Linked DNA regions of Arabidopsis thaliana. The protein of the gene in region 3 interacts with the protein of the main gene of each other region in a pairwise test. Each region holds a gene or a part of one and is shown on either strand. Other genes may lie near its edges.

What was found.
Region 1: the proteins of CPK7 (region 3) and UMAMIT42 interact in a protein complementation assay, tested with the Arabidopsis thaliana proteins (one large-scale study listed by BioGRID).
Region 2: the proteins of CPK7 (region 3) and AT4G38520 interact in a protein complementation assay, tested with the Arabidopsis thaliana proteins (one large-scale study listed by BioGRID).

Annotation. Positions count from the first base shown.
Region 1 is NC_003076.8:16,072,113-16,079,979, reverse strand, and holds UMAMIT42 (nodulin MtN21 /EamA-like transporter family protein), read left to right. Parts: upstream 1-3,758; 5' UTR 3,759-3,891; coding exon 3,892-4,085; intron 4,086-4,164; coding exon 4,165-4,230; intron 4,231-4,420; coding exon 4,421-4,534; intron 4,535-5,316; coding exon 5,317-5,509; intron 5,510-5,615; coding exon 5,616-5,777; intron 5,778-5,877; coding exon 5,878-6,026; intron 6,027-6,113; coding exon 6,114-6,255; 3' UTR 6,256-6,446; downstream 6,447-7,867. Other genes in the region: UMAMIT37 (nodulin MtN21 /EamA-like transporter family protein), read left to right, coding at 13-166; AGL43 (AGAMOUS-like 43), read left to right, coding at 616-1,590; DEG9 (DegP protease 9), read right to left, coding at 6,879-6,989, 7,071-7,175, 7,251-7,301, 7,384-7,485, 7,583-7,815.
Region 2 is NC_003075.7:18,015,172-18,023,038, forward strand, and holds AT4G38520 (Protein phosphatase 2C family protein), read right to left. Parts: upstream 3,330-7,867; 5' UTR 2,777-3,329; exon of another isoform or gene 2,512-2,776; 5' UTR 2,344-2,511; coding exon 2,025-2,343; intron 1,885-2,024; coding exon 1,517-1,884; intron 1,427-1,516; coding exon 1,190-1,426; intron 1,107-1,189; coding exon 828-1,106; 3' UTR 449-827; downstream 1-448. Other genes in the region: PLC1 (phospholipase C1), read left to right, coding at 5,537-5,845, 5,931-6,127, 6,213-6,348, 6,434-6,822, 6,921-7,038, 7,107-7,337, 7,413-7,727. UniProt on the Arabidopsis thaliana protein: Dephosphorylates and represses plasma membrane H(+)-ATPases (PM H(+)-ATPases, e.g. AHA1 and AHA2), thus influencing negatively plant growth and fitness.
Region 3 is NC_003076.8:4,046,869-4,054,735, forward strand, and holds CPK7 (calmodulin-domain protein kinase 7), read right to left. Parts: upstream 3,776-7,867; 5' UTR 3,480-3,775; intron 3,188-3,479; 5' UTR 3,168-3,187; coding exon 2,652-3,167; intron 2,561-2,651; coding exon 2,437-2,560; intron 2,346-2,436; coding exon 2,202-2,345; intron 2,109-2,201; coding exon 1,956-2,108; intron 1,885-1,955; coding exon 1,769-1,884; intron 1,673-1,768; coding exon 1,505-1,672; intron 1,416-1,504; coding exon 1,182-1,415; intron 1,102-1,181; coding exon 949-1,101; 3' UTR 645-948; downstream 1-644. Other genes in the region: AT5G12470 (UvrABC system C protein, putative (DUF3411)), read right to left, coding at 1-422; NF-YA1 (nuclear factor Y, subunit A1), read right to left, coding at 4,279-4,482, 4,664-4,828, 5,140-5,211, 5,363-5,463, 5,817-6,093. UniProt on the Arabidopsis thaliana protein: May play a role in signal transduction pathways that involve calcium as a second messenger.

The DNA.
Region 1 (7,867 bases), about 12 Mb from region 3:
TATTGTGTGTAGTGTCATTGGATCATTGATTTTGAGCTTAGGATTCTACACTGTGATTTGGGGAAAAGCAAGAGAGGATTCAATCAAAACTGTGGCTGGTACTGAGCAGTCCCCTTTGTTGCCTTCACACACCATAGAAGAAGAAGCCTCATTAAGCTGTGACTGATGCAAGTGGAATCTGTTAAGAGATGGTCCCCATTGATGTTTACGTATAGCTACACTACATTGTACATATGGTAATTTTGTATGTTTTTCTTTCTTGTACTATTTCAAGTTAAGGATTTTTAATTAATGTAAGACGACTGATATTGCCAGTTAGGAAACCTTCTCTTATATTTCCATTTTATCAACAACCCTTAACGGCTCTAAACGCAAAATCTATGCAAATATATGGAAATCGAATCTAAAAAAGCGCACACACACATATCTTTACGCGTTTTTTCACCGATCAGCGAGAGTGATAAATATTTTTTCAAACCCTAGTGATCAAAATATATCTCTAATTCACACAGTTTCCTTCTCACTTTCTTCATCTTTTTCACAAAGCCGCCAAAGTTTGTCTTCGTGTTTTCTCTTCACTCTGAAACAGAAAGTTTGTCTTCGAAATCAACAATAATGACTATGCGATCATCTTTACCTTCTTCCTCTTCCGCTTATTCACTCGCTTCAACAAGTTTGAGCAACAGACTTGAGACCATCTTCAAGAAAGCTTCAGAGCTTTGCACTCTCTGTGATATTGAAGCCTGCGTCATCTATTACGGACCAGACGGAGAACTCAAGACATGGCCTCCGGAGCGAGAGAAAGTGAGAGACATTGCTCTTAGGTATAGTCAATTAAACGAAGCATTGAGACGCAAGAAAAGCGTTAATCTTCATGGGTTCCTGAACAAGAAGAAGAAGAACAAGGGTTTGAAGAATACGGACAAGAAGAGGAAGACGAGTCTTAAGAAGGTGAATGTTTTAAAGTATCCACTCGCTGATCATTACCCTCCCGACCAAGTTTCTCCACTGATTCAGTCCTTGGAACTCCATGTCTCTAAATTCCACGAAAGGCTTGAATTTCTTGAGTCGCGGAAACAGAATGAGACACAACCGGATCACCACAGTTTAGCATCATCCTCTCTGAATCATCAGACCCAATCTTTGAACCCTAGCCAGTTCTCGCTGTTTATGTATAATCATGGAGACAATACTCTGTCTCAGATCCCAGTCTCTGCATCAAATTTCAATCAGGATTATTTCTCAGCGTTACTTGAACAATCTGAGTTGAAGAATCAGTTAATGAAGCAGGAGATTTGTGGTAATGATCAGAATCAGAACATGTGGATGGGTAACATCACCAACAACAATTTTCAACTTCCTTGCGTCTCAGTACAAGAATCTGTGAACAACTTTGGGTTGATGCACAAGGAGTTTTATGGTTGTGATCATAACATGTCTGTGGGTAACATCAATAGCAACAGCTGTGAACATCCTTGCGTCTCAAGCACACAACATTACTCGGCGGTAGAAGAATCTGTGAATAACCCCTGGTTGAATCAGTTGATGCAGAATGAACTTTATGGTTACGGTTATGCAGACTTTTGTTAATTTCTTATGATTAATTCTGTGTGTCTAATGTCTTGTTCTTAGGTGTGTTGTTGTTCTGTATTCAGCTAATATTGTAATAAATTTTGAATCATCATCCCTAGAAACATTAATTACTAAAAGCCAGTCTTATGATCTATTTCTGATTTCTCTCTTATGCATAATAAACTCAAATTTCCAATAGAGACTCTCAACAGAGCAATAACTGTGTATGTGTGTGTTAGTTGTATAAGTAGAACTAAGCATATGTGTTCCATTGGGAAACACCAGTTATATGTTATAATAATCTGAATTATCTCCAGCTTTTTTATGGTTATTAGTTGGATAGTATGAAGCAGTACATGCACTTTCACTTTCCATACAGGTAGCTGGTTGTAAAGCTATTGAATATAGTTCCCCAACTCTTACCTCTGCTATCAGCAACCTCACACCATCTTCCACCTTCATACTTGCCGTCTTCTTCAGGTTCCACCTTGTTTCTTTCCTCTCTGTTTGTAGAAAATGAACAACCGAGTGGTTCCACGTTAACCATACAAAATATATGTTTCTGAAACAGTAACAATCAAATATGAAACAATATCAGAACACAGACAGTAACTGTCAAATATGAAACAATACCAAAATGCAGAAACATTCTCATGCCACTAATTGTGGTTGTACTAGTACAACCTTGCGGTGATATCAACATGTTAGCCTATCATTCTTTCCCGAGAAACTTCTGATGGATATGAGGATTTTTTGTGACTATCAATTTTTTTATCTGGTGACTTATAAAGGATGGAACAAGTAACACTAAGAAGCTCTGCAAATCTGGCTTAGATCATTGGCAAGATAGTATCGATATCTGCTGCTCTGGTTGTTGTTCTCTATAAAGGCCGAAAAGTTCTTGATGCTGCATCTTTTACTTCATTCGAGTCAAGTTGGATAATTGGAGGCCTTTTGATCACTTCACAGTATTTGCTTGTTTCAGTCTGGTATATTCTTCAGGTACATATACTTGGAACTGATTCATGAATGAGATTTTGGGTTTTGTTGGTTACACATAAACTTAAGCTAAATTTGGCAGCTGTACATGATTTCAGAGTCAGGTCATGGAGATCTACCCTGAAGAAATAACTGTAGTCTTCTTCTACAACTTATGTGGAATGCTAATTTCACCACCAGTTTGCAGAAAAAGACTTGACCTCTTGGCAGCTTAAACCGGATATTTCCTCGCTGCAGTCATATACTCGGTTAAAGTCAAACCTTTTATAACCTGCTTCAACTACTGACTCTTATCTTTAAGCTCAGAAACTACCACTCTGTTTCAGGGAGTATTTGATTCATCATTGTGCTCGGTTATACACACATGGGGTCTCCACCTGAATGGTCCAGTGTATGTATCCTTATTCAAGCCGTTGTTTATAGCAGTTGCAGTCGTCATGGGTGCTATATTCCTTGGCGATGCACTTCACCTTTGGATGTGCCATATCTTTCAACTATAGCGTCTCTTTCTTGAGAAACATAAGTGATATAAACTTAGTTATCTTAGTTATAGGTTGTTGAAATGTTTAGTCTCATGATCTTCATGTTACTATGTTGCATCTCTGTGTTGTGGACAGTGTGATTGGATCAATGATATTGAGCTTTGGGTTTTATACTGTGATTTGGGGCAAAGCAAGAGAAGATGCAGCCAAAATAGCAAGTCTTTCACAGCAGTCACTTTTGTTGCCTAAACACAACAAAAGAAAATGAAACCTTACCATGAAGATATGTTAGATGCAAGTGAAATCCTTTAATTACTTACTTTTGGACCCATTAGAAGATGGTTGGTCCCTGTTTATACAGAGCCAGGGTAAATAAGAATTTAGTTTTAGCTTCTCTTCTAATTTCTTGGATTCATCTATTGGTTTTGTACCCATTTGAAGATGGTCCTGGTTTATCTTGTCTATCTATCTATCTATATAGATGTCACATGTTTATACGTTTTGTAATTATTTGATGATGTTTGATGAGGATATATACATCCATCTATAATTTGTTTGTCAATAACTTTTTGTATGTAAAAATGAAATATGAAACGTGTGTTTTAATCTAGCCACAACATGTGTAGGAATCCATTTAATTACAATTTTTCAGAGACCACATACATTTCATACCCAACAAATAAATGTTTTTTCAACCAATAAGAAGACAACAATTAATCATTTATTTGATGGAGACTGTTTCACATGTCTTTTCCCATCAAGATCCCATGAACTAATAATATATACAAATTTCAGAGAGACAGAGGCTTAGAAGAAAGAAGAAGCCAAGAACTAAAAAATGGTTCATGGAAGGTTATGTAACAGAGATGGCTGGATCTTGACGGCGATGGTGGTGACAGAGTTTTCTAACGTAGGAGTAAACACTCTGGTCAAAGCAGCGACGTCCAAAGGACTTAGCCCATTTGTGGTTCTTGTATACTCTTACACTTTTGGATCTCTTCTTCTTCTTCCTCTTACATTCTTCTCCTTCAGGTTCTTCATTCTCACGATTCTGTTTCAAGTTTTATGTTAAGTATTAAGTAATTTTTCTTACATAGACTTATCTCTACAGATCAAGATCTCTCCCTCCGTTGACATTTTCAATTCTATGCAACATGGGGATTCTTGGTCTAATTGCGTAAGTTACTTTTATTTTGGAAACACTATATCTAGTAGCATTTGCAATGCATATATCTTCCTAGCTAGGTTTCAAAACCAATTATTAGTTGGTTCTTGAATTGCATATAAGTGTGTATTCAAAAAAAATTGTTTTATGGAAGAAATTTCTTACTTAAATTTGTTGTATTTGTACTTCATAAAAAGAACAGAAGTGCGTTTCAAATCTTAGGCTACAATGGGATAAAATATAGCTCGCCGACTTTATCTTCGGCCATGAGCAATGTCAATCCTGCTTTTACCTTCATCCTCGCCGTTGTTTTTCGGTAAATTCTATTTCCCAAATATTTCAAATCATTAATTAGTCGTAATCATTTTTTTGTTTCTTGTAAAAAGTCGTAGCCATTTTAGCTTTTTAATTTTCTTTGCTTTACGTTATAAGATTTTTTATGCTTTAAGAAATCCAACGATGTTGTTGTTGACAAAAAGGAAAAATAAATCTCTCCATGGTTGATGGAAATTAAAAAAGAAAAAGATCTCTATCGTTTTAGTTAATGTCACATATATAATCATAATTTCTTCAATCATCGTTTCACTAGTAGCTCGTTTCTCGCCGGAAGACTCGCGCTAAGTCCACGAAATATGTTTTTTAGATTAATTTTATAATATAACAGCATGAAAATTTGTCCCATTTTAATATTATTGAAAACGTTTGTCTGAAAAGTCAACAAAAGAAAAAATAAAATTAAAACGTGTATGGAAAAGCATCACTGAAAACGTGTGCAAGGTAATGTTTTTCCGAAAATTTCTTGAAAACTATAAAATATATCAGTATAAATTATATATAACGAAAATATATCAATAGTTTATAATAAGATATGAGAGCTGACTCTCGAGTTTAGGTAGGAAAGAAGGATAAACAAATCCATAATAGTTTATAAAAAATTTTGGTGTGGTTTATAAAATTTTGTTTGGCCTTCATAAATACATTTATATTCAGTTTTAATATATTTTTATTAATCTGTGTATTTTGTTTAAAAAATCAATTAAAAAGGAACAGAAAGAATACTTTTTATATTTTACTCACTTGCACTTTTTTTTTATGAAGAATGGAAAATATATCTCTAGGGAAAAAGAGTAGTGTAGCCAAAGTGTTGGGAACAATATTGTCAATAATAGGTGCACTTGTGGTTACTCTCTACCACGGTCCAATGCTAATGTCTTCACATTCGGATTGGATCATCGGTGGTGGCCTTCTTGCTCTCCAATACATCCTTGTCTCCGTCTCTTACCTTGTTATGGTATACCTTACTAGATAATGTTATATCCAAAATGTCATTGAAATAGTATAGTTGTCTTAGTTATATTATATTAATATATGGTAACTCAAAACTCGGCTATTTATAGGCTCACACAATGGGTCGATATCCATCTGCCGTCGTTGTGACGCTTGTGCACAATGTTTGCATAGCTGTTGTGTGTGCATTTGTGAGCCTTTTGGCAGAGAAGGACAATCCGAAGGCATGGGTCATAAGATTCGACATAACCTTAATTACCGTAGTAGCAACGGTACTCATGACATTATATTTATAACTTTGGTTTCATATGTTTGTTCATTTATTCGTTTTTCTTGGTCTTTGATGATTTATGGAATATACATTTTTCATAGGGGATTTTGAATTCGGGATATTATGTTATACATACGTGGGCAGTGAGTCACAAGGGACCTGTGTATTTGTCTATGTTCAAACCGTTATCTATATTGATAGCAGCCGTATCAACTTTCATTTTCCTCGGCGAGTCGCTCTACCTTGGAAGGTATACCACAAAACTGTTGCTTCTCATGATTTTAAATTCACTATGTAAATGTCATTTCTCAATCCTCCTCTATATGTTTGAGTACAGTGTGATGGGAGGAATATTGATATCAATAGGATTTTACATGGTGTTGTGGGGTAAAGCCAAGGAAGACAAAGTTGACATAATAGGAGCAATAGAGTCCTCTCCTTCACATAATGCTCCTCTCTTGGATAATTTTAAAAGCTAATCAATATTCACTTTAGTTTTTCATGAGTGATTTCTGACAGATTAATACTATTTATGTGTGTCATCCATTTTATAATATAGTTCGACCAATAGTCCAAAACTCATTAAAAAAAGGCGTAGACAAAAACCAGAGACACACATATTAGTGTTTGTTAATAAAATTGGTGTTTTGTGATCCTTGGACCATGGTATGGTGATTTCACTGAATTGGTTCGATCTTAGTTTTCAAAATCGGTTCAGGTAGCTAAACCAGACTAGGGTTTCTTAATGTCAAAGCGCTACGAATCCCACTATTTTACTTGGGACATATAGATGAATGGAAAGTGAAGTATTTGGTAGAAGAACCTATGATTATATCTCATCCATTTCACTTTCTTTTTGCATACTTTTTTTGTGTGGATATATATGATTGTTCTACCAAGTTCAAACTTCAAAGAAAATAAATGAGAGAAAAAATAACCAATGTATTTCTTCTTGCATATTTTTCCAAATACAAAACAGAATCAAGAAAAATCAAATTATGGTTTGAGCTTCTCTTTGTCTTTCCATGACTGTATTTGCTTTTATGTCCTTCCATGGACAAAAATCTCTCTTTCTCTCCTTCTGGTTATGGTTCCTTCTGTTTCAGTTTCTTTCTTCAGTCTTGAGATCATCAGACATAGCAGAAGGTATGCAATGTGTGGTCAGAATATCTAATGTTGCTTCCTTTGCTGTCTTAGTGTCCAGAACAACAATCTGTAGAAACACCAAAGAATTTTAGCTAAAAATTGTTTATAAGTTTGTATAAAAGTTAAGGAAGATGAGAAAATAACATACCTGATCATAATCCAGATTAAACTTCATATATTCATCCTCACAATTCTCCACCATCCCAGCTAAACCTTTCAAGTTTTTCACAGGTTTGCCATTAAAGGCGACAACCTACACGGCGATTTGAACATTTAGCGTGACAGATGCTTCAATAAAGTGACAAATGATAAATGCAATTTAACAAACCTGGGTGTTGACAATCTCTTCATAACCAATGTTAATGTCAGAAACAAGAACCTGCAAGTTAAAATATGGGTGTTGAGGCTTCGACACCAAAATAATTATGACTGCATTAACGTGTGAAACAGGAGAAACCAACCTGTGAAACTACAACAAGCTGCTCGTCCACGGATTGAGCCATTGCATGAAGATGTTTCTCCAATAGCTTGACAGGTGCGTCAAATTCATATTCTTTTCCATACTGCAAAACATATCAATGGGAAATAGTTATATAAACTGTGAATGGATGCATGAGAGAAAGCGAGAAAGTAAGGAAAGATAGAGAGACAGTAAAGGACCTCAGATCGAAGATATGGAACAGAGACAGTTGTAAATACAAAGCCAGCAACGATGAAGTACGAAGGAGGTTTGCCACTTATGTGAGCAGGGATTAGCCTCTTGTGGATTGCAAGTTTTATGTTGAACTCTAATATTTCTTTGTTTCGTAGAACCTTCACGAGAGCAGAATCTCCAGTGTACTTTTGGGATATAAGGTAGCTAAAGCCAATTCGTTCTCCATGCCTAAATGGAACTGCAAAAACACAAACATGAACAGAAATGTTATTAAGGATTGTCTAGACTTA
Region 2 (7,867 bases), on a different chromosome or scaffold from region 3:
TCAGTTTCATAACTTTCAGCTAATTACATTTATAGCCTTTTACTTTCCCATATTATCACATTAATCATTTTCTCATCTTTATACTTTAAAATTTTTGAAGAGAAAAAAAACATATCCAACGTTCTACTTAATTTGGTATGATTTTTTTATTTTATTTAAAACACCTAAGTTATAAGAAAACCTAGTTTGGTAAGATTTATTTTGTCCCGCTATTTTTAGATTTTACAGAAAATTATGGTCTTTTAGAAAATCATAAGTTTACTAATTAGTAATTAATACAAAATAGTATTTATCAAAATTTAATAATTTTCTTTATTTTTTTTCAAAAAAGAAAAGAATAAATCAAGTATTGATTGATATATGTGTTAAACTCTTTGCTATTTGCATTTCCGAGAGATTTAATAATGAGAGAAAAAATCTAAAAATTTCATTTTAAGAAAAGTTGAAAACTCTCAGGCGAGATTATATGAGAGCTGAGACTTATTGATTGGTTCAGAACACAACTGCATACCAAAGGCCATGTGTTTTGTAAGGCCATGGTCTGAGAATAAGCTGAGTTTCTCTAGTCTGAATCAGTAATACCTTAAAAAGCAAGCAATGAAAATTAATGAAGAAGAAGAAGAATTCTTGTCACCTTTCTTTCTCCAGTACACAGCTAACAAAGGGAACAAACAAAACTAACCACTTGATTATGATATATCCTTTCCCACTTGATGATGATATATCCTTTCCCAGTCAATGATAATAATAATCAAATATATATATTTATATATAGTTACAGGAAGGATCTTGGAAAGAATTTTAAGGACACCGTAAAAATTCAATAGTCAGGAGGCGCCAGCAGCAGCAGCTTGAGTGGGCGTGGTGCAAGGCGCCAGGGTGTTGTGAGGTAGATTCACACCCGCTCCTCTCACTGACACGGCTGGTCCTCTCAACATACTTCCTCTGCTCACTAGGTTTGTATCAAAGAAGACAACAATCACTGTTATGTCATCGTGGAAATGTCTCCTCACTCCTCTGTCTATCTTTTTCAGGTCTGAGTATCTCATCTCTCTCTTCTTTGCCGCTTCTTGTAGCGCTACTTTCACCAGCCGCTTTGCTATCCCCTGCCATTAAAGAGTCCTTATTATTATGTGCATTCTTTATATATAGTCTAGTAGTACAAACAGAGTGGGGTGTGTGTTCTCACGTTTCGCGGATGATTCTGGACTATGTCTACTGCTTCTTGGTTGCTCATATGTTCCCACAGTCCATCTGATGCACATATAATGAACTGATCGTGCGGCTCCAGTGTATGCACCGTGATCGCCGGCTCTGCACTCAGTAATGGCTTGCTGAACGGTGACCTCAGCCGGAATTTTGCATACAGTGGTTCCCTGTTGAACTCTGACCTTTTCAAATACACATCACCAATGGATCTTGAAACCTGAGTATAGTCATAAAGCCACTCAGAAAGACAACAGGAATTGTAAGACATACAAAAACAGATTTAGTCCAACTCTAGTTTATTAAATACCTGAATGATGCCTTTTACTCGCCAGACGTTATGTTTCAGAACCACAATATCTGGATGATCCGGATGCAGGGCCTGAAGTTCCCGTCTCACTGACTCTATAGATGCGTTGTGCTCTGCTGAGAGCTGAGTGGCATGAGCTTCACCTGTTACCCTCATGACTTGTCCCAGAACGGCCCGTGAGTCCCCTGCGTTGGCCACGTATAGCTTCCCATCGCAGATGACACTTACAAGACAGCATGATCCCACTGTGGCTATCTGAGGTCTAGTTTGAAATTGATTTGTAACTATGGATAAGAAGCCTTCTTCAGTGGCTTGGAACGCTTTTTTTATCACCTCTGATGACATACACTGTTGCTCTGCAGTAAACCCTGTGCATAACATAAAAGATGAGAGATCAAAACTAGAACCATTTTCTGGACTAGTGCTGCTATTAGAGAAATGCTTCTATATTTCCTTTCTAGATTAGCTAATCCAAACAAGAGTTAAAAGCATAGGTTGAGCGACTCACTCTTGAGGTGGTGGAACATATGATCATTGATGAAGCGAGATGTCTCAGGCCCACCGTGGCCGTCGTAGACGCCAACAAAGGTGCCAAAGGGACCAGAGTCGTGGGAGCTAAGAGAGCCAGACTCGAGCTGGCTCTGGTCCTCTAGCAAGCTGTTGGCTTGAACGACGGCCATGGAGAAGTCACCAAAGACGTGCTGGCCGGAGTCTCTGAACCAGAGCAAACCCTCTTGGCGGCCACCAGAATCTGAGGCAGAACGAGCCTGCTGATCTGACCGTGGCCAGAGACAGGCATTCAGAAAATTCATCAACCCAGATAGCATCCCTCATCTCATCCGCCACAACATAGAACTTGTCCGTTTTTAAGATAGCACAAATCACAGCTCTCTGAAATCTGCAATGCCAAAAGTAGTTCTTCACAGGAACGGCGCAAGTTTCACACAGCTTAAAAGAGTGCTCTTCTTCAAGACCTGAATGAACTCAAAGACAATCTAAAGAGCAAAAAAGTGAGAAAACTCAATTGTTATGAGTGGCAATAGAAATGAATCTGTAGGAGATTATAGTGAGACTGATTAGTCTAGTGATTGAACAATCTAAGAAACTTGATGCAACATTGAAAAGTTAACATCTTTAAGTAAGGAAACCATCGGAAGAAAGCAAAATTAGTGATGCGGCAAGCAAGAAAAAAAAACAAAAGGATTTATGCGGCAGATTCCAACTGGTTCGTATTCGCTACCAAAAAAAAGGAAACTTTACCTTGCAAGATGTTGGAAGCAACTCAAGTTGAGCAAGAAAATGAATGAAGAGAAGGATCTCAAGAGGACGGAGGAGATGTGGGCGTGGAATTTCAGAGCTTGTAGATCTACTACGACTACGGATGGATCAACCAAACACAAAATTTATACTTTTATATAAAAATGAACACCGATTTTTATTATTATTAAATTAAATATAAGCGAGCGGATGAGGAAGAAGAAGACCAATTGACAAAAAAAAAAACTTTTTAAGAAGAAAAAAAAATGGTTATCCCCTCAGAAACTAATGATCTTTCTTTCAATGTCTGGAAACAGTGAACAATGAAGGTAAAAGAGAGAGAGAGAGAGAGGTCAAGTCGCCGAACGAGACATCCTCCTTCGACGTTTTTATGTAAAAAAAAGAAAGAAAGTTGGAGTTGTTTTTTTTATCTTCTCTCTTTATCTCTCTCTATAGTCTTAAGACTAAGAGTGATTCTTACCAGACAAGACCCATAAAAGACCAACGATGGCGAGGTCGGAGCCAGCACATCAAAGGTCCCAGCTTTCGGGCTCCACTTCCCTCTCGTCCTTTTTTGCCTCATTAGATGGACAACACCAAACAGTGGCAAAGAATAATATTACAGTTTTTTTAGGGAAGAAAATAAAATAGTTGATATTATTGATATAATAATTCATTCAAGTCTCCTCTTTATTTTAAAAATATTCAACTCTTTTACTTTAGACATTATCATAAACTGGGGTCAAACGGAAGATTTTTCTTCAACGTTTAATAAAATCTCTTAACACAAATCAAAGAAGAGTAAAAATATACGGTTTCGATAAAATTTGGTTATGTGGCGGTGTTACATGACTACGACTGATAAAACTACACGAGTACTTTTGTTTTTCTGTCACCAAGATTTATTTCTTTTACTTACTCCATGTGTTTTTTTCTTTCTTCGTTAAAACTACTCCTCGTAAATTATAATCAAGATTTTAAGCAGTGTGCATATAAAATAAAATACATGTACAGTCTAGAAATAATATATGTGGATTCATGAATCTTTCATTTTTAATTTCCCCACACAATTTGTATCAAACGTTTAATGCCCATAAAAGTGGTGGTCCAGGACCCTGAGATTAAAATTTTAAAAAAATATATAGAGAAGAGGCTTGGGCTTGAAGAATGAAAAATTGAATAACAAATATTTAAAAAAATTTGGGACCCGAAAGTGATTGGGATAAAGTGAGATATGTCACTTTACCTAACATTATTTAATTTTATATTAATGTATGTACCACTAAATTTGGCCCTTTTCTCCCCATCGACTCTTTGTAGTTATTTATACTTTTGTAGTACCAATAATAGAAGAATCAACTATAAAAATTTCAGCTCAATAAAGAAAAACAGAACTATGAATTAAGTGAGAAACTCAAAAGCCTGCTTCTAAAACATGAATACGTCCACGATAATTATCACTAAGTTCTAGATAATCTAATTTTGCGGGACCAAATTGATGTATATGCGAACTTTTTCATACTTTTTTCACCAACAAATGTATATACTTCCCATCATGCATGCTCCCATGGTATCTCGCCGAGTGTCAATATATGTGAACTTACATAACCAAAAATTGATTTATAAAGATAACAATAATAAGGGAGACCTAAAAATAGAGAAAAGGGTGGTGTGGACTGTGGAGAAGGTCCCTACTTACAGAACATAGCTTCCATCAATCACACAAAAATCCAACCACTCTGAACCTTTCACTTCAGGACCAACTTCGTTATCCAATCATCTCCCAATATGCCAATACTTTCACTTATATATGAACGTGTATATATAAACCCTTCACATTTACTTCACAAAAATATCTTTTAAAAAAAGATCATAATCACAACTACTAAGCTAGAATTTTTTAGTAAATTTACTACTACGGTAATTATAAACAAATTATATAGGTTTCTTAAATAGTAGAACTTAAAATATAATGCAAAGTTATGTACGAATACTATCTTTTAATTAAAAATAACGATAAGAATGTTAAAAAAGAAAAAAAAAAAATCATGTTGATGATATATATGTTGAAGTAAAATTTAGTTATTAGGTTTAGGTATACGTCAATCATTCATGATACATGGATCCCAAACCCATAATATATCATGCATCGATCTCTGAAAATCACCAAAGCAAAAAAAACCCATGTAACATGATATACTATATTATGCATCATTTCGCCAATGTAACTTCTCTGATGCCCTGAACCTATTTCACATATGACTCATGGGAAAGACCGACAAAGGGATCGTATTACCCAAATATGGTTACGATAACATCCACTGAATATCACTCAAAATGAATTATTGTCTCTTACTAGATATATTACGGCTAGTTGATGATTTGTTTGAAAAGTTTAATCTTACAAAATTATTAATAGATTTGATGCTGCTCAAAGTGGTCTCTTTTATTTGCACCGCAAAAAGCCAGTATATATCCCCATTAGAAAAGACGTGACAAAGTGTTTAATAGATCCTTTATGTTTTCCTCGGACCCATGCATATATAAGTGTATTTAAATCTTTTATAAGGTTTTTATAGCCATAAATAAACAAATTTAGTTCAAAATAAGAATAATTAAGTAATTGGAATAGCGAGACACGTTCCTTGAGATGATAACACGAGCATATATTCTTCATCACTTTTGTTTGCTTCATATCATATACGCTAACTTATGTGTGTGTGTAATATATGATCTCAGAACTAACAAGTAAGAAGAAGAAGAATGTCGGAGAGTTTCAAAGTGTGCTTCTGTTGCAGCAGAAGCTTTAAGGAGAAAACGAGGCAGCCACCAGTGAGCATCAAGAGACTCTTCGAAGCTTACTCAAGAAACGGCAAGATGTCTTTCGATGAGCTTCTAAGATTTGTGAGTGAAGTCCAAGGAGAACGGCACGCAGGGTTGGACTACGTGCAAGATATCTTCCACAGCGTTAAACACCACAACGTTTTTCATCACCATGGACTTGTTCATCTCAACGCCTTCTATCGCTACCTCTTCAGCGATACCAACTCTCCTCTTCCCATGTCTGGCCAGGTATCTAAGTTTGGAAACTTTTTATGGATTTATTTCACAAATGGTTTTGTAATTGGGTATATTATATGTTCTTGGTTGGGTTAAGGTGCATCATGACATGAAGGCGCCGTTATCGCATTACTTTGTGTACACGGGACATAACTCTTACTTGACTGGGAACCAAGTGAACAGCAGAAGCAGCGTAGAACCGATCGTGCAGGCTCTCAGAAAAGGCGTAAAAGTGATCGAGCTCGACTTATGGCCTAATCCTTCAGGGAACGCTGCTGAAGTTCGTCATGGCAGGTTGGTCCCACTAACGAAGTCTTATAATCAACAAACAGACTCCAAAAAATGTCACACACTATATGTGTTTTGGTTCTCTCATCAGGACGCTTACTTCGCATGAAGATTTGCAGAAATGTCTAACCGCCATTAAGGATAACGCGTTTCATGTGTCTGACTATCCAGTCATCATCACTCTCGAAGATCATTTGCCACCCAAGCTTCAAGCGCAAGTTGCTAAGGTAAGTTGGTTTTGCAGAAACAGAGTATATATTTCGTTCTCTGAAAAAGAGTGATTTACAAATTTGATTGATTCTATGTTTGTAGATGTTAACTAAAACATACAGAGGGATGCTGTTTCGTCGTGTCTCAGAGAGTTTTAAGCATTTTCCATCACCAGAAGAACTTAAGGGGAAGATCCTGATCTCTACGAAGCCTCCAAAGGAGTATCTTGAGAGCAAAACTGTACACACCACAAGAACTCCAACGGTTAAAGAGACTTCGTGGAACAGAGTAGCGAACAAGATTCTTGAAGAATATAAAGATATGGAGAGTGAAGCTGTAGGATATAGAGACTTGATAGCAATCCACGCTGCAAACTGCAAAGATCCTTCAAAGGATTGCTTGAGTGATGATCCAGAGAAGCCTATACGGGTCAGCATGGACGAGCAGTGGCTAGACACTATGGTTAGGACCAGAGGAACGGATCTTGTCAGGTAAAATATAGAGTGAGAGGAGTCATAATGTTGAACCTTTTTCGACTCAAGAGTTATAAGATGAACCTGAGTCAGAGTTTGAAAAAAAACAAAAACAGGTTTACACAGAGGAATCTGGTGAGGATATATCCAAAGGGCACAAGAGTGGACTCGTCAAACTACGATCCTCATGTTGGGTGGACACACGGTGCTCAAATGGTTGCTTTTAACATGCAAGTAAGTGGAACTGGCTCATCATCGTTTGACTTGTTAAAAAATGGTTGAATAATATTTGTGTTGAAAAGGGACATGGGAAGCAACTATGGATAATGCAAGGAATGTTCAGGGGGAATGGTGGATGTGGGTACGTTAAAAAGCCTCGCATCTTGCTAGACGAGCACACACTCTTCGACCCTTGCAAAAGGTTTCCCATTAAGACCACTCTTAAGGTTAAGATTTACACTGGCGAAGGATGGGATTTGGATTTCCATCATACACACTTTGATCAATACTCTCCTCCAGATTTCTTCGTCAAGGTAAACAACAACTACTACTCTTCTTTTAAACTAGATTTCTTCGTAACTGTGTGTGTGTTGCATTTGCTGCATCAGATTGGAATAGCAGGAGTACCGAGAGACACGGTCTCATACAGAACGGAAACAGCTGTCGATCAGTGGTTTCCTATATGGGGCAACGACGAGTTCCTGTTTCAGCTGTCTGTTCCAGAACTGGCGCTTCTGTGGTTCAAAGTCCAAGACTACGACAATGACACCCAGAATGATTTCGCAGGACAGACATGTCTTCCTCTGCCGGAACTGAAGTCCGGAGTTAGAGCCGTCCGGCTTCACGATCGAACAGGCAAGGCCTACAAGAACACGAGGCTTCTCGTCAGCTTCGCCTTGGATCCTCCTTATACGTTTCGTTGAATCTCGTTTTCTTTCCGAAATAAGCCACACAGTGTGTATCTCTGTTTGCACGTTTATAAATTTATAATGTACAATTATTTGCGCCCTAGCTAGAACGGGATAAAGTGTGACAACATATAAATACTATTAAAGATTCGATA
Region 3 (7,867 bases):
AGGAACCGAGTGATAACCGATCCAGGAATCCGACCCGCCTCAATAGCAGCCGCTAGATCTTTGGGAAGACTCTCCAATTCAATCCCAGACTCCTTCAACAAAAGCATCGCCTCGTTCCTGTTCCTATCCCTGTCCTCGTCACCGTGTCCATCTCCATCATTCTTACCTCCATCGCCACCACCACCACCACCACTAAGACCTCCTCCGTTGTTATCAGAGCCGCCGTTACCACTTGAAGCGGATAAAACAGGGGTAATAGGTACACGGCGGTTAAAAGAGATTGACTTTGCAGAGATTACACCGTTAAAAGAGGAAGATGAAGAGAGTCTAGGAAACGAAGCGATGTGAGGCCATGTCAGATTGGATTCAGAGATAGCTGTGTTCGGTGTTGGAACACAGAAGAAGCAGGAAGCGATTGCCATTGATGCTACAGACAGCGAGAAACGAAAAAGAGATCTTTGAAACTGGAACTGAAACTGAAAGTCGTCTGGTTCAGTCTCTCTCTCTGTAGGTAGAGGCGGACGATTGAGAGAAGTGGAGAGTCAGCGAAAAAGAAGAATCTTTCTTTCGGAGTTTTAAGGGTTTTTTCTTATTTTATATATCTGGTGGACCTCACTATCGAGAGAATCCAACTGGCGCGTGTCTTTCACGAAGCATCTTACACCATCTTATAAATATATGAATTACAATCACAAAACTCGTATCTTTGGAATCTCAGAAACTTGTTCGACATCATCATCAATCACATCGCTGTCCATTGAAGAACTTTTCAAACAAATTGAAAGCCCTAAACAAAACCTACGACCACGACCAATCTTTCTATCATTACCGTGTTAAATGCTTATAGAACATAATAGTTATTTCTTTTTGACAATGCTGACGCTTCTTTCTTCTTCTTCTTCTGCTGCTGCTTTTTCAAAAAGATTCAAACTTTTGTCTCTTGCTTTCTTAGGTCTCGCCTTCTAATTGCAATGAACCATCTCTCATTAACTTGAGGCTTAAACTGTTGAATCTTTCCCGAGAATACTGTCTTGACGCTTTTCTCCAATCTGTCCCAGCTTTCATCATCGCAACAAACTCTTCATAGCTTATTCGTCCATCCTGATCACACGAAACAAGATATCAAAATGAGTGGAGAAGTCAAGAATGTCGCGCGTTTGAAAAGATTCAGACAGCTTTACCTTGTCGGTATCAACATCTTGCATGATGGCTGCGATTACTTCCTCACTGCTAGTATTATCCAATTCATCATTCAAGGCTTCACGAAGTTCGTCAATCTCTATGTAACCACTCTGGTTCTGATCAAAGAAGTTAAAAGCTTTATGCAAGTGTTCATCATTCGCCATCTTCTTAAGGTGGACTGAAACAGCAACAAACTCGCTATAGTTCAGTGTCCCATCCCCATCAACATCAGTCTGCAGGAAACAAAAAAAAAGAGTTTTAATTTTCAGAAGTGATATAGCACTTGTTTCGAGCTAATCGCTCTGAAATGAAAGATTCATACAGCTTCCATAAGAATTTGAAGATCAGTATCAGCTATCTGTTGTCCAGCTTTTTGAAGTCCATATTTAAGCTCCTCGAGATTTATCTTGCCTCTCTTGTTTACGTCCATCATTTCAAATGCTTCCTTTATCCCTGCTGCTTCCTCCACTGACAAATGTTCAGCTATCACCTAGAAGGACGAAACAAATTTACATTTTCATTTTTGATTCTGAATCAGACTGGAAGCAAATCGATAATCAGTGACATGGTTTAACAGAATCAATACTCGTAGAGCTCGTTTCTTGAGCTTGTTCATAACAGAAAACTGCTTTAGTCTTGCTTTCACAGTCTCCCCAAGAGAGACATTTGGAGCCTTCTTTGCATTCAGTATCCAAGTATGTTCTGCAAATGGAATATTTATTTATGAGTTTACGATTTCAGAAAGCTCAGCCTTGCTGAAAACAGAAGCCTACCGAGAACTTGTGCAGCAGTAAGCCGTTTTTTGGGATCAGGTTCAAGCATCTTTCTCACAAGGTCTTTGGCGCTGTCAGAAACTCTTGGCCATGGATCTCTCTTAAAGTCAATAACTGATCTAATGATCGCTTGAGCCACCCCTTGCTCAGTCTCTGTACCCAAAAGAAAGATAAAAACGTCTGAAAGAGGTCTTAAAGTGAATAAGCCAGAGGAAACAAAGAGAATGCGGTAAAGCATAAACAAACCTGCCCAAAATGGCGGAACACCACAAAGTAGGATATAGAGGATAACTCCAGCGCTCCACACATCGATCTCAGGACCATAGTTTCGCCGCAGCACCTCGGGTGCCATGTAATAAGGACTTCCAACAATCTCATTAAACTGCTCACCTGTTACAGTTTAGAAAATTCAGCTCAAGTAAAGATACACTAATAAATGTGCTCCATTGATACTCATCAAAAGCTGATGTTGTAAATGTACCAGGTTTGAAGAATACAGATAATCCAAAATCAATGGCCTTAAGGGCTGATGTCTCTTTCTTATTTGCAAAAAGAAAGTTCTCTGGTTTGAGATCCCGATGCATCACTCCTTGCTTATGGCATATCTGTAAAGACAAACCAGCGATGTGTGAACATAAAACACAGACAAAAGGAATTGGGGACTTCAGACATTGTAAACACAGCTATATATGGAACCTGAACAACTTCAACAATAGTCTTCATAACCGCAGCAGCAGCCCGCTCAGTGTAATGACCTCTTGCAACAATCCGATCAAACAGTTCCCCTCCTTCACACAACTCCATAACTATATGCACCGCATCATCATCCTCAAAGGAATCCTTCAAAGAGACGACATTTGGGTGTTTAGGCATATGCTTCATAATCTCAACCTCCCTCCTAACATCCTCTATATCAACTGCTGTTCTCAGCTTCTTCTTAGATATGGACTTGCAGGCATACTTCTCACCAGTTTCCTTATCAGTACACAAGTAAGTTATACCAAACTCGCCTCGACCAACCTCACGTCCAAGATCATACTGCAAGGATATATCATGTCCTGTAGGATCTTTCAGCACAGAGAGCTTAAAACCAGCTCCAGATCTATCTGTTGTAGCGTATTCATTGCTGTAAAAAGGATTGTTTTTGTTCTTGGGTTTCCCTTGTTTACTCTGGTTCGTAGCCGAACTCGGATTGCCACAACAATTCCCCATCTAATCAAATCTCAAGGTTCCTGAAAAACCCAGAAAGATTAAAACTTTGAGCACTGTTCTTCAAGGTTCCATTAGTAACTTAAGCCAATAACTATTTCTAATTAACAACATATCCTAAATCAAACAGAACCCTAATCTAATATACTCAAACCAGATTAGTAAACCCTAGCTAAGATCAAAGACAAGGGAAAGAGGGAAAACACAGACCTCAGAACTTATAATGGGTAGAAACATTTAAATGGGTATAAATCAGTTGAAGCAAAAGAAGATATGTAGCTAAAAAGGATAAATTAAAGAGAAAAGTCATCATACGCTGTGAGGAAAAACAAATGCAGTGATAGAGAGAGAAGAAGAGAGGAAGAAGACGAGTCAAAGTCTTCCTCTTTCTCTCTCTTCTTCAAATGACAAAACACACAAATTGACTCTCTTCTTCTTCTTCTTCTTCTTGCTTGCGGGGATTCAAAGAATGACAACTCTTAATTTTTTATGTGTTTCCATATTCTCTTTCATATGCTCTTCGTGTTTTTTGTTGATATAAATAATCGATCTGCCCGTTGTAGATTTAACAACTTCTTTTTTTTCACTGTCCTTTTCAAATCTGGTTTATATGCAAACTTGAAACTTCCATGAGCAAACTATGCAACTTATTGCAAGCTGTTTTTTTTTTCTTTGCAAAACATAATGTTTAATAGGTTTCTTCTACTTTCTAATCACTCTCCTCCGGTCAAATAATGTTTAAGTTGGCGAAAACAGAGAATTTGACTACAAATCTGAAGCATTGTTATAGCCTTGTTAACACTTTGTGGTCAGAAAGGCAAACGATTAAGCAAACGTATTTTTCAATTTTGCAAAAGAGAAAAAAAAGGTCAAAGAATAAAAACAAGACCTACTTGCTATTCCTTAGTCTCTTGTCTCCAAAATCTAACACCTAACATAACTCGCTCTTTGTACATTCATCATAACTGTTAAACCCACACAATATGAGACTCTGACAAGAACAACTAGCAAACACAAAAACGAAAAAGCCAAGAATGATTTGCCGGTTTGAGGCAATGATTATATTAGCCAAAGTGTGTGTCTCTCTCTCCTCTCAGAGCTTTGGCTTTTTTTATTATGGTGCACCAGAAGAATTCAGGGTCTCATTAGAGTCTGTCTCAACTTGTTCAGAGCCTGATGAGTTGGTTGCTGAACCCCTTTCTCTGTCTCTCCCTCCTGCATCCTCTCCCGCTTCTACCTCACTTTTCTTCGCAAACCGGCCTCCACTCGCTCGTGCCCTTCTCATTGCATGCTTGTGTCTTGACTCGTGAAGATATGGCTGTCGCATTTCAAACATAGTCAATACAAGTTTACCGAGCGACAAACCAAACTTGCAAATTCTTAATGCTCATTATCAATCCTTCATATAGCATGGGTCCACTTCTATTATGGACTCTACACCATCCTTAGATTACCAGGACACCAATCAAGTACAATTTTCATAAATGAGAAAAAAATACCTTTCTGTCCCGGATGACTTTCCTCTCTAGCTCTGCCTTGGCACGTGCTTTTCTTCGCCTTAGAATTCCCTCGTACTGCTTTGCATTCACATAAACGGGCTCTTGTGCCATGTCAAGTGGCAGAGCTGTTCTTTCACGAGGCATTCCAAGATATGGACGAAAACCCTGTTTAAACCAATGAACAAAATAAATGCAACAAATAGACTCAGATCATCGAAAACTTTACATATAACTTATAAGACCCCAAGAATCCCCATTAGTTGTTCTCGATAATTTCAGATATAACTTTGGATTCTCAGTTATTTCAGAAATGAACTTTAAAAGCATCTCACTGACTATTGCTGAACCCAGACACATTCCAACAGTAAATAAAATCACCACAAACGGGTACTTAGTGGCAAAAGCGCACATACATCAAATAAACACTGCACCATATGGAACTATTGTAGAGATTGAAAGAGGTTTCGACAAGATACCAATTGCTGATGACCATATGCTCCCATCAATCCCCCATAATATGGATCCTGATATGGGTTTGGGACACAAGCCTGTAAGGAAGTTTTGAGTTTATCATACATATGAAAAGGGCGTTATACAAGATAAATCCTTTTGAGGGACCAATAAGAAGTCAATTTAACAGCTCAAGAACTCATAAAGCATATATATATATATATTAAGGAATGAGAGGAAACCACATACGATATAGTGTCCAACAAGCTCTGGTGGTTGTACAAGTGGCTGATCATGCATGTTACGGATAGAGAGCGCTGGGTCATTTCCTTCCATTCCGTGATTATCTACTGAAGTTGAAGAAAGACACCATTACAAACAAAATAAAGAAATCACAATGCACATATCAACGAGACAGAATCTCCTTGGCATGGATAGAACTATGAAACCCTACAATTACAATGCAAGTATATTTCAAGGACCAGATTCATGAACTTGACACGCCCTATAGTGCCGAATCACACAAATGCCCATTTAATTTCCCTGCCTGCTTGAGGAACAACTCTTCACCAAGTTGCAACATTCCGAACGTGGAACAACATCACTTTCGACAGTGATCACTAGGTCATCCAGTAAAACAGTACTGCAGAAATGATGAATATGAACAATACACCAAGTAGGCCTAAAGACCAAGAACTCAAACCTGAACGAGAGGAAGTTGCAGCTTGTGAATCCTTCCAAGTGCCATCGTTTTCACCATTCAACGCACCGTCTTCAGATGCTGAATGAACATCGTTTGACTCGGAACCATTGGGGCAATCCAAAGAAGAGGAATTTGATGGAATTCCAGAAGGTCTCGCTTGAGGTACAACACCAAAGGAGTTGTTTTTCCACCAGGGCTCTGCATACATCATCGGCTGCTGAACAGCATGGTGATTATTGACTTCCTCTTCGTTTTCTCTTCCCGGTTTTGATTGCATCTCTACATAATCAAGTCAACACATGTTCAGTAACCAATTCAAAATCCAATCAAAAAAAAAAATTCATCACTAAAACCGTGAAAAAGATACAGACTCCAACTACAAAAAAAAGAGAGCAATTTTAGGGCTATGAAGCAATGCAGAAGCATGCAAAAATATGAGAAAGCACCAAAATCTCACATGTCTCGAATTTACACTCTAAACCTACATAAGCTCGTAATATTCAAGAGATTCTTTAGCCACCTGCATCAATTTTTTCAATCCCTTCACGAATTCTAGCAAACAAAATTTCAAAAACAGAAAAAATTGAACATACCAGTGGAAATTCACAGCAGAGCACTCTTTTGCAATCGCCTTCGAAGAAGATTAACTTCTTTCAGAAATCAAAAAACCCTGAGGTGAATTTAATCGATCACGATTTTGCAGAGTTTAAAGAGAAGAAAAAATTGACCTTGAAAAAAAATCAGAATCGAACAGAACCAGAGAAGAAGTTGGTGAAGGAGAATCGATTCAGAAAACCCGACAGCCGGCAGGAATGGAGAATTTCGTAGAAGAAAAGTGAAATTGGGCGAGAAGAAAACCCTAGATTTTGGGGATTTTTCTTTTTTGCCAGAATTGTGGTTTTTGATATTAAGTAATTTATTGAAAAATCGAAATAGAGTAAGTTATATGATGATGATGAATTTACACAAAAGACCGAGATTTGATAAGATCACTTACGAAAGTGAAAAATCTTTTTGCCACGTGGCGCTCTATGAAAGATGCCAGCGCGCGCAGATCTGGGATCTTCTCCGGCTGACGTTATCATAGGTTCATTTTTAATTTGTTTTGTTTTTTCTTATATACTAGAAAGAAATTAAATTTCTTTTAAAAAACAGGAGAAATTTGGGTCCAAGTGACACGCAAGTGATGGGCTGGGACGAGGGACACCTGTAAAATGTGGGGACCCTATTGGCAAAAACAATTAAAAGATTTTTTTTTGTTAAAGAAATAAGTTAATTAGTTCAATATTTGTAATTTCTTTCTTTCACAAAATAATATAAAGTGTTTTCCCTTCATGAAAAAAATATAGTTGTTTTAAGAAAATAATAATAATAATACAACTGAAAAAAATATTTTCCATAAATAATTGTAGGTAAAAAAAAAAACTATGAAAAGTTTATTAAAATCATATTAAATGGTTACAAAAGGTAAAATACGTTCGAAGTTTAGTAATTTGGTGTTATTACGGAGATTAAAGGATCCATAACACATAACATTTATATGAGTTTTGGCCAGATCGTCTTTGTGAACAATAATTGATTTATTTGTTGGAATACTAAACCGAATTGAGAAATTTCGCTGTGCATTTCTCACTATAACACTTGATGTTGATATCATCATTGATTATGTATTGTTTCAGGGGAACAGATGGTAATTATATTTTCTCTAGTGAAGTGTTTGTTGTGAGAGCGAAATTAATTAATCGGTCATGGACAAGGGGATACACAAATATGATATGGAAAATGACAAAGCATAATATATAGCATATGACTCAGACACTCAGACACTCAGACACTCAACCACCGAACGTTAGCCATTAAAAAAAGGCGAAAATGATGAATCATACGCAATATTTATATTTAGAAAGAAGGTGGGGAGAAAATAGAGACACTAACTCTTGTTATGCTTTTAAAATATCTTGTTATTTTGAATACTAACATATATTAAGTGGAAACCATTTGATTATATATGTGTAATGGTCTACATTTGTGTTTGAAGTGTTATGGTGAAC